Linked DNA regions of Sus scrofa. The protein of the gene in region 1 interacts with the protein of each later gene in a pairwise test. Links are inferred from orthologs where the notes say so. Each region holds a gene or a part of one and is shown on either strand. Other genes may lie near its edges. The genes, in order: INSR and MAD2L1.

Evidence for each region.
Region 2: the proteins of INSR (region 1) and MAD2L1 interact in binary tests that used the Homo sapiens proteins (3 or more experiments, as listed by UniProt). The link is inferred for Sus scrofa from reciprocal best matches to the Homo sapiens genes INSR and MAD2L1.

What each region holds. Positions count from the first base shown.
Region 1 is NC_010444.4:71,795,872-71,800,236, forward strand, and holds the start of INSR (insulin receptor), read left to right. Parts: upstream 1-1,337; 5' UTR 1,338-1,807; coding exon 1,808-1,907; intron 1,908-4,365. UniProt on the Homo sapiens protein: Receptor tyrosine kinase which mediates the pleiotropic actions of insulin.
Region 2 is NC_010450.4:103,925,564-103,930,157, forward strand, and holds the start of MAD2L1 (mitotic spindle assembly checkpoint protein MAD2A), read left to right. Parts: upstream 1-1,794; 5' UTR 1,795-2,006; coding exon 2,007-2,079; intron 2,080-2,832; coding exon 2,833-2,979; intron 2,980-4,594. UniProt on the Homo sapiens protein: Component of the spindle-assembly checkpoint that prevents the onset of anaphase until all chromosomes are properly aligned at the metaphase plate.

The DNA.
Region 1 (4,365 bases):
GGGAGGGGCCAACACACACAAAAATAAGGCAGCATTTCAAGAAGACACACTGGTGTGATGTAAGCAACAGCGATGAGAAAAAAAGGGAGGAGGTATGGGGGGGCAGCATTTGCAAAGCATGGTCAAGGAAGGTTCACGGGAAAAAAAAAAAAAGAGGAAGGTTCATGGGAGCTGAGAGGTGGAGCCAGACCTTGGAGGTTCAAGCAGGGGGACCAGCCAGGGTAAAGGCCTGGAGGCAGGAGTAGGTGTGGGTTAGAAGGACAGTGCAAACTTCTATTTGTTTAATAGAGAAAGAATGAACACGCTCAACCAAGAGTGATGCTGGTGGCTTTCTCGTGCTTCCCCCCGCCCCAGCAACTCCCCACATCTGCCACGCAGGTATTATTACAGGCATCTTCCTGGTGAGGCCAATCCAGAGAGCAGTTACTCATTGGAGACCACACTGGAAGTGAAGGCAGAGGGAGCCTGATTCCCACTCCATTAGGAACGTCCCCTCTCCCCTCTCCAGCAAGGTGCTTTGATCACTATCATACCGAATTCGTGAATGACTTTTGCCAGACATTCAAAACACACGTGGACTCTAGGTCTGTGTACTGAAAATTGGGTGTGTCTACCTGTGCTTTAGCCAAGATCTCCAGCGCCTGCTTTGTATTTTGTCGAGGTTCTGGACATCGCCTCAAGGGTCAGTTCTCCAACTTGAATCACAGGCCGAGCCGGAGAGTGCCTGCCCACTGAGTACTTTGAGCTCCTGGGGCGAGCTTGCACGTGGCTGTCCCCAGGGGCCTGGTGTGGGGCAGGGGCGAGCTCCCCGTAGGACAGCTGGGGCGCCCGCGCGCGCTCTGGGACCAGCTTCCCCGAGCAGGACGGGAACGAGGGCGAGGCGAGCGTAACATTTAAAGGAGTACCCAAAAACCGTGGAGCCAAGATAAATAATATTTTAATGCATTTTTTTTAAACATCAAAACGAATCCTCCAAAGTCTACGGTGAACAAAATAGCAAAACGTTACTCGCGGGATAGGGCATCTGCAGCGCCCCCAGGCTCTGAGACGAGAGTCGCGGGGCTGTACGGGGCGCTCCGGCTGGGCAGGGACCTGGGGCGCCCCCTCGGCTAGGGCGCGCCGGGGGCCTCCAGCGCGGGGCCCTCCTGCGCGGGGCCCAGGATAGGGAGGCTGGCTGGCGGGCGGGCGGGCGGGGTGGTGCCTCCGCCCCCCGGCCCGTCCTCCCTCCACCCCTCTCGGGCCTCTCCCCGGCGCCGAGTCCCTTCCGAGTCCGGATCCGCGCCGTCTTTTGCGGCGGCCCGCACGGGGCCCAGCTGACGGGCCGCGTTGTTTACGGGCCGAGCAGCCCTCGCTCCCGCCGCCCGCCCGCCACCCGCCAGCCCAGGTGCCCGCCCGCCTGTCCGCACGTCCGTTTGTCTGCGCGTCCGTTTGTTGGCGCGTCCGAAGACCTCAGCCCCCGAGCGCTCGGGGCCGAGAGCCGGGAGGCAGGGGCGCAGCGCGGGGCTCCGAGCCCTGAGATCGCGGGACGGGGCCCGGCCGCGGTGGCCCGGAGTCGGGGCCGCCTCCACCGGGCCGCGCCACCGGATTTGTAGCGGCAGAGGCCGCGCTCCCCTCCTGGGGCTGTTTCGAGGGCCCTCCCGGGGCTGTTTGAGGGCCCTCCCGGGCGGAGTCTGTGGCCAGTGGTCCGCCGGCGTAGAAGAGAAGGACGTGCGGCCCCAAGTGCCTCTCGGGCGGCCGCTTTGGAGCATGCACCCCGCGGGCCAGCGCCGCGCGCTCTGATCCTCCCGGACCCCGCGCTCCCACAGCTATGGGCGCTGGGGGCAGGCGGGGGGCGGCGGCCCTGCCGCTGCTGGTGGCCGTTGCCGCGCTGCTGGTGAGCGCCGCGGGCCACCTGTACCCTGGAGAGGGTGAGTCTGGGGGTCTGGGAGTGGGCGGGAAGCAGCGCGTTGGGGAGGGGACCCTTTGCCAAAATGGAACCCCCGCTGTGGCCTGAGAACCCTCCTCTGTGGGAGGGCTGGTAGCCGGGACAGTCGCTCCAGCTCCGCGGCGGGGAGGGGGGGCTCGGGAAGCCGCTGACCTTGGCCTTTGCCCGCCCGGGCTCGCAGCTCCACGCCCCGCGTGCGGGCACCGGGCTGGAGGAACCTTGCCCCAGTGCCTGCCTCTCCGCGGGCCCCTCTGCGGAGCGCTCCTCGAACCCGTGCCTGGACCTCCAGGAGCCCAACTGGCTCCGGAGACGGCCACGCGTCCTCTCTGGGTCGCCTCCCAGAAGTGGAGGGTCACTGGATAGCCTCAGGCAGCCAAATGCCCGGGACGCACACGGTTTGGAGCCAGAGTGGAGAGTGACCGACTTGGGGTGGGGGGGCCCCTTGGGGGTCCCAGCTGGTAGGTGATGCGACCCAGGGCCGGTAATTGTAGCATCTACCCCTTTCTTCCTGGTGTCTGTAGACTCAGGGCTACTCCTGACTTCAGGTCCGTGTTTCCACTTTTGGGTTCTGTTTCCAGATGTCGGGAGGCAAACTCTAGCGCCTTGGCAACAGCACAGTTGCAGTGGCAGAATGGTGTTGCTTTTATGATTCTTCTGGTTAGTGTCACCAGATGCCTCTGGCTGGTGGGTATTACCTCCCTGGACCCCTGAAGCGAGCCCCTCGAGGCTGATACTGTTGTTAGTCCATTTCACAGAGGAATAAACTGAGGCTCAGGGAGGATACTAACTCCCTGGCCCCAAAGTCAGTGCCAGAGGGAGGACTTGAACCTCTCCAGTGACTCTGGCCCAAGGCTCTGTACTGCTGCCTATGCCCCATGTCTCTGATAACCTCCTTCTTCCAGCTCTGCCCTTTTACCTGTCAACCCCCTGGGGGTCTCTAAGCTGTGGTCAGCCAAGCCCCAGGAGCTTGGCTCCTGGGTGTCCTTGGATGGGCAGCCTGCCAAGACAAACCCCAGCATCTTTCTTGAGCTTGAAGGCAGGTCTGCGGGTCAAGGACAGGAGAAACGTGTAAGAGAATATAGCTGAGGTTTCATACCACGTATGGCTGAGGTCCTGCTTTCAAGCTCTTTGTTGGGTTACTTCTTCAGATTTCTCCATAAAAGGAAATCAGTCGTGATGAGGAAGGGGTCAGGGAGGGAAAGAGCAGAAGCTCCTGAGTTCCCTGACCATGGGTGAGGTGATGAGAAAGTACACGCAGGGTTGTGAGTTGACAAACCGGGTTTGCTGAGCACCTTGGCCAATTAGGCAATGTCTCCAGGCACTCGAGTGCGTGGTATACAGTGGGTGTTCTGTGAAGGGAGGGTGGCAGTTGGTTTGAGTTCTTGTTAAAAATAAGAAACTCAAGACCCGTTGTTAGACCTATGTCAGGTTTTGTGTATGTGTGGTTCCCTGCTCCTCTGTTCCTTGTAGCTTTGGTAATTCATTGTGGATTTGTGCCTAGGCTTTCAAGGGTTACTACATAGATTTACCACTTCTTACATGTTTACATTTTCCACAAGGGTAGAGGCTTATGTTTCTTTTGCTCACTGCTACCTTTCCATAGCCTAGGAGGTGTTTGATAAATATCTGTTCTTCTTTTTTTTTTGGCCACACCCTCAGCATATGGAAGTTGCCACTGCCAGGAATTGAATCCTAGCCGCAGCTTCGGCAACCCCAGATCCTTTAACCCACTTCGCTGGGCTGGGGATTGAACCCACACCTCTGCAGCCTCCTAAGCTGCTGCAATGCGATTGTTAACCCACTGCGCCACAGCAGGAATTCCTGTTCTTTTTAATATTTCCTTTTTTAATTTTTTTTTTTTTTTTTTTTTTTTTTTTTTTTTTGCCACAGTATCCAGTGGCTTGATGTGGGATCTTAGCTCAGGGATTGAACCTGGACCGCAACAGTGAAAGTGCCGAGTCCTACCCACTAGACCACCAGGGAACTCCCTTATAAATATTTGTCCTTCACTCCTATCCTTCCTGGTCTTGCCAGTAATCCAAGTCATCGCTCCTTAATGCTCTAGATAACACCTAACTCACAAGAAGAGGAGTAAACACTCTGCGGGTGCTATTCTGAGCACTTTACGTATGTAATCTAAGTCGTTTCCTCACCGCTGTGCTGTGGGATAAGGTTCATTGTCTCTTTCAAAGGTGAGGAGATGTGATGAGGTGGCAGAGCTGAGATTCAAACTGCAGCTCATCTAGCTGCAGAGCACCTGTTTCTTAATTAAAGTGTCTTCTTTTGGATCTGACCCTTCGCACTCCAACCCGGTGGTCAAGGTTAACGGAATATGATGGAATAAATGACACGTGATGTCCTTTGGAGGTTTGGGGCGGACAGGGGAAACTTTACAAATGGTTAATCCCCAACATCAGCTGGTACGGCAGTTTGGCTGGGTG
Region 2 (4,594 bases), on another chromosome or scaffold:
TTTTTTTAAGTATGCATATTTAAACAAAACTAGATTACAAACTTCTCAAAAACTACAGACCATGCTTTCTAAGTCTTAATTATTTCTTATACTGTCTCAAAGAACACAAAGAAAGTATTAAGTACTTTCTCTATATTGGAAATCTCATACTTGGGCAGCTTCTAGAACCTCCAAAATTATACTAAAGATTATTTGCATCTTCAGATAACTTAAAAACTGTATTATTTTGAAACAAAAAGAAGTCTTTCATGAAGTGTTAAGTTGTAAATTCCTTAGAAAGAGAGGCAATTTCTACATGGAGTAAGGTGGGCATCAAGCTCTATCAGCCAGAAGCCAAAATCCTGGTGGAAGGAATGAAAAGACGGTGATTTAAACACACACACACTTGTACCACAGAAACTAAAGGATGTAAGGAAAATGTTATTGGATCAAATCAACTTATTACATATTATACCTGTTTCAGTCTTTAAACTGATCAAGTTTTGATATATAACACTGAATAGGCAGAGTTCTAAGGGCGTCCTCAAAATTTGTGGCCTCCAGGGAGCCTATCCTATAGAATCCCTCCACTTTAGTGTGGCCAGAGTAGTGATTATTAGGAGTTATCACTTTGAGGATTAAGTTCATCAAAGAGGAAATTATCTGACTGGGTCTGACCTAATCACTTGAGCCTTTAAAAGGGACCTCCCAGAAGTCAGAGACTGGAAGCCTGAGATTTATGGAAGGGCTACCTGGCAAAAGCACAAGACTGGCCTCTGCCAACAGCTGGCAAGCCAGTGAGGACATCAGTCCAAGAACAAGGATATTAAGTCTACCAAGAACCAAGGGCCTCAGAAGAGGACCCCTGATTTTAGGTAAGATCCCACTTGCAGACAAATACCCTTATTTCAAACTTGTGAAGACTACAGTAGAGAACTCACCTATGCCACGCCATGCTCCTGACTGAAGGACTGATAATAAATGGGTGTTGTTTTAAGCCACTCATTTGTGGTAATTTATTATGCAGCAATAGAAAACTAATACACTCAGGCATTTTTTCATACAATTAAATAACATTATGTAAGGTGGTTAAGTTTTTCAGATTTCATTTTACATTTTTTCTACCCACTTTAAGAATAAACTTGTTTCAAAACAACTGACATGCACATTAGTTGCGCGCTATCTCTTTAGTACTTCTCATCCTAACAATAAAATTCAAAATTCACGGAAAAGTTCTTCAGTGTTGAAAGGCCTTTTTGGTGAAGTGACCTTACTCCTGACCAGTCGCCGAAGGATGGCGGGGTGCAGAGTGCAAGCTGGACCATCAGAGACAGCCTCAGGCTGCCCCCAGACTGAGCCTAGCAGAGGGTCGGGGTGAGGAGTAGACGTGAGCTTTGCCCAGAACAGACAAGGGAAAGAAGAATGGACGCAGTTCATCCCTTTAATCCCTAAACCAATTTCTCAGGAAAAGCCGCGCGCCCACAAGTAATCAGGGTCTCTAATAAAACTGTGGTGCGCACGCAGTAGCTTTAGAAACTCCCAAAGCATCTGAGGAGTTCCGCCCGCCCACTAAGAATCACTGGGGCTACTTAAGGTACAGCTAGCAGACAGATCGGAGCATTTTCAAAATATCTTTCAAACTCAGGAGTTGTGCTCCTTACCCCTTCTGCCTGAAGACTCAAGGCGCGGCCACTAAAACCGCGATATACCGTCTTTGCCGCAAGCCCCCAGCTAGCCAACCAACTACCGCAGGAGTTCCACAAGGAACCCACCGCGACGCAACGACTCAACAGCGTGAGCACGTCCACCCACTGCGCAGGCGCGAAGAGCGGCTACGCGAGGAAGGAGAAAACAAGCCAGACCCCGTGGTGTAAGGGCGGGGCCTAAAGGCTCGTTGCGCCTGCGCGAAAGAGTCGACGGCGTCCTGCGTCGTTACTTTTGAAACCGGTGGCGGGGAACTACTCTGGAAGTCACTGGTGTGGCTGGTTGCCGCGTGAAAGCGCGTCTCTTCATCCGTGGGCCTGGCCATGGCGCTGCAGCTCTCCCGGGAGCAAGGCATTACCCTGCGCGGGAGCGCCGAAATCGTGGCGGAGTTCTTCTGTAAGTCCTTCTCGCGCAGGCCGGAGAGCGGGGAGAACTGTGCCCAGGCCGCCAAGTAGGCCCGCGGCTCGGTACGGTGGCGGGGAGAACCCATTGGGTCAGAGCGGACGCGAATCCGAGCCCTCTCAGTCTCAGCGTACTGCCAGGCAGGAGGGATCTGGAAGAGGCGGATGCAGGCGCCTCTTCCGGATGCGTTGCTAATGGTGGAGGAGGCGGCCTAGGTTCTGCTGAGGCCTGCCTGGCGATATAACCGCTTAGCCGGGAGCAAACCCCATACCCACCCCGAGGTGAATCAGGATTGACGGTAATGGGCTAGACTTGGGGAGGCGTTCTTCTGGACCAGGCCAGTTGCACCTTCTGATAGAACCTGGCAGGACTTGTGAGAAGAAAAGGAGGAAAAAAAGGAGAGGATTGCCTGGGCGTTGGACGACTCAGTTGCTTCTTTTGACATCCTCTAACCATAAAGTCTGAATTTAGAATTGTTTTACAATGAAATGAAATTTGGCACTGGTAGATAAATGCAGTTTGCCATGTTTCTTTTATTGCCACTTAAATGCAGATACCACTTTTTTGTTTAGAAGCAAAATTTTAAAGCTTTTTAATTTCACTTTGTACCTTTGAGCAAAACACAAACGCGTGTTTAAACATTTACAGCTTTACACCATTAATGAAACCATAGCCACATGACTAAATATGTTTTATTTCTCAGAATTACAAAATGAAAATGACTTTTAACATTTCTTTTGTTTTCAGCGTTTGGCATCAACAGCATTTTATATCAGCGTGGCATATATCCATCTGAAACCTTTACTCGAGTACAGAAATACGGACTTACCTTGCTTGTAACTACTGATCCTGAGCTCATAAAATACCTAAATAATGTGGTGGAACAACTAAAAGGTATTTCATTGTTGGAAACAGTTTTGAGTTTTGCCAGCATTCTAGGATCCATTTTCTAGCAGCTTGCTGGTCATTTTTCATCTGTATACCTGGTGGTGTAAAACACACTACCATCTCAAATATAGTGAAATAACTGGGAGGAAGAAAATAAATCAAAAAGAAGTCCCATCTTTACCCCATTTTGAGTGGGCTGAATATTTTCATGTTAGGAACGCGATACGGCTTAATGAAACAATTCCCATCAACTCCTTTAGAAATGAGTGTTGCAGTTTATGTGACCAAATGGAACATGTTGGAATTTTACATAATTATATTGGTGTTCATTATCTGAGAAAAATCCACTATATATATATTTGTAGCTGCATGGAGTCTAAAGCCATCATTAAGATGAAGGAAGCAAAACTGAATTCAACCTGGGGACTAAACTTTAAAAAGAACAACTACCAAATAACAGAGCACCATTAGAATTTTCTTACTTTTCACCTGTTTCCATTGTCTTGTCTTAAATCCTACATGTGAGTCTGAATACTTATTTTTTCCTTTTAGCTCAAGAAGTGTCAGTATTGTTTAATTAATACTTGTTCTCCATCTATTCCTCTTCTTTCTTCTAAAATTTCTAGTTTCTCTTTCATGTTTGTCTCCACCTAGGGTTCTCATTTCTAATTTTTCTGTGTTGTAGGATATTTTTCCATATCCACACATTGATCTTCCAAAGTTCTAAAAAACACTACAGCCCTCATCTTTATTTATTTTTTTTTTAAGTTTTTACTGAGGTATAGTTGATTTACAATGTTGTAATAATTTCTGCTGTACAACACAGTGATTCAGTTATACATGTATACACATGCATTCTTCTTCAGATTTCTTTCCCATGTAGCCCATCACAGACTGTTTGGTGGAGTTCCCTGTACTATACAGCAGGTCCCTATTGGGCAAGCATTCCATATACCTCAGTGTGCATATGCCAATCCCAAATCAATCCCCCACCCCATCCCTCTTCCCCCACTTCTCCCCTTTGGTTACCATAAGTTTTTCAAAGTCTCTGTTCTGCAAATAACTTCATTTGTATTTTTTTTTTTTTTTTAAGATTCCACATTAAGTGCTATCATGTTTGTCTTTCACTAACTTCACTTAGTATGATAATCTCTAGGTCCATCCATGTTGCTGCAAATGGCATTATTTCATTCTTTTTTATGGCTGAGTAATATTCCATTGTATATATGTACCACATCTTCTTTATCCATTCCTCTGTCAGTGGACATTTATGTTGCTTCCATGTTTTTAATTTTAAATGAATCTTTTTTGTTTCAAGCAGCTTGATTTTTTTAACTCAATGAATTTTATTACATTTATAGTTGTACAACAATCATCACAACCCAATTTTACAGCATTTCCATCCCAAACCCCCAGCCCATCCCCCAACCCCCAACGTGTCTTCTTGGAAACCGTAAGTTTTTGAAAGTCTGAGTCAGTATCTCTTCCGCAAAGAAGTTCACTGTATCCTTTTTTTAGATTCCCCATATAAGTGATAGCATATGACATTGGTGTCTCACTGTCTTACAAACTTCACCTAGTATGATAGTTTCTAGGTCCATCCATGTTGCTGCAAATGCCA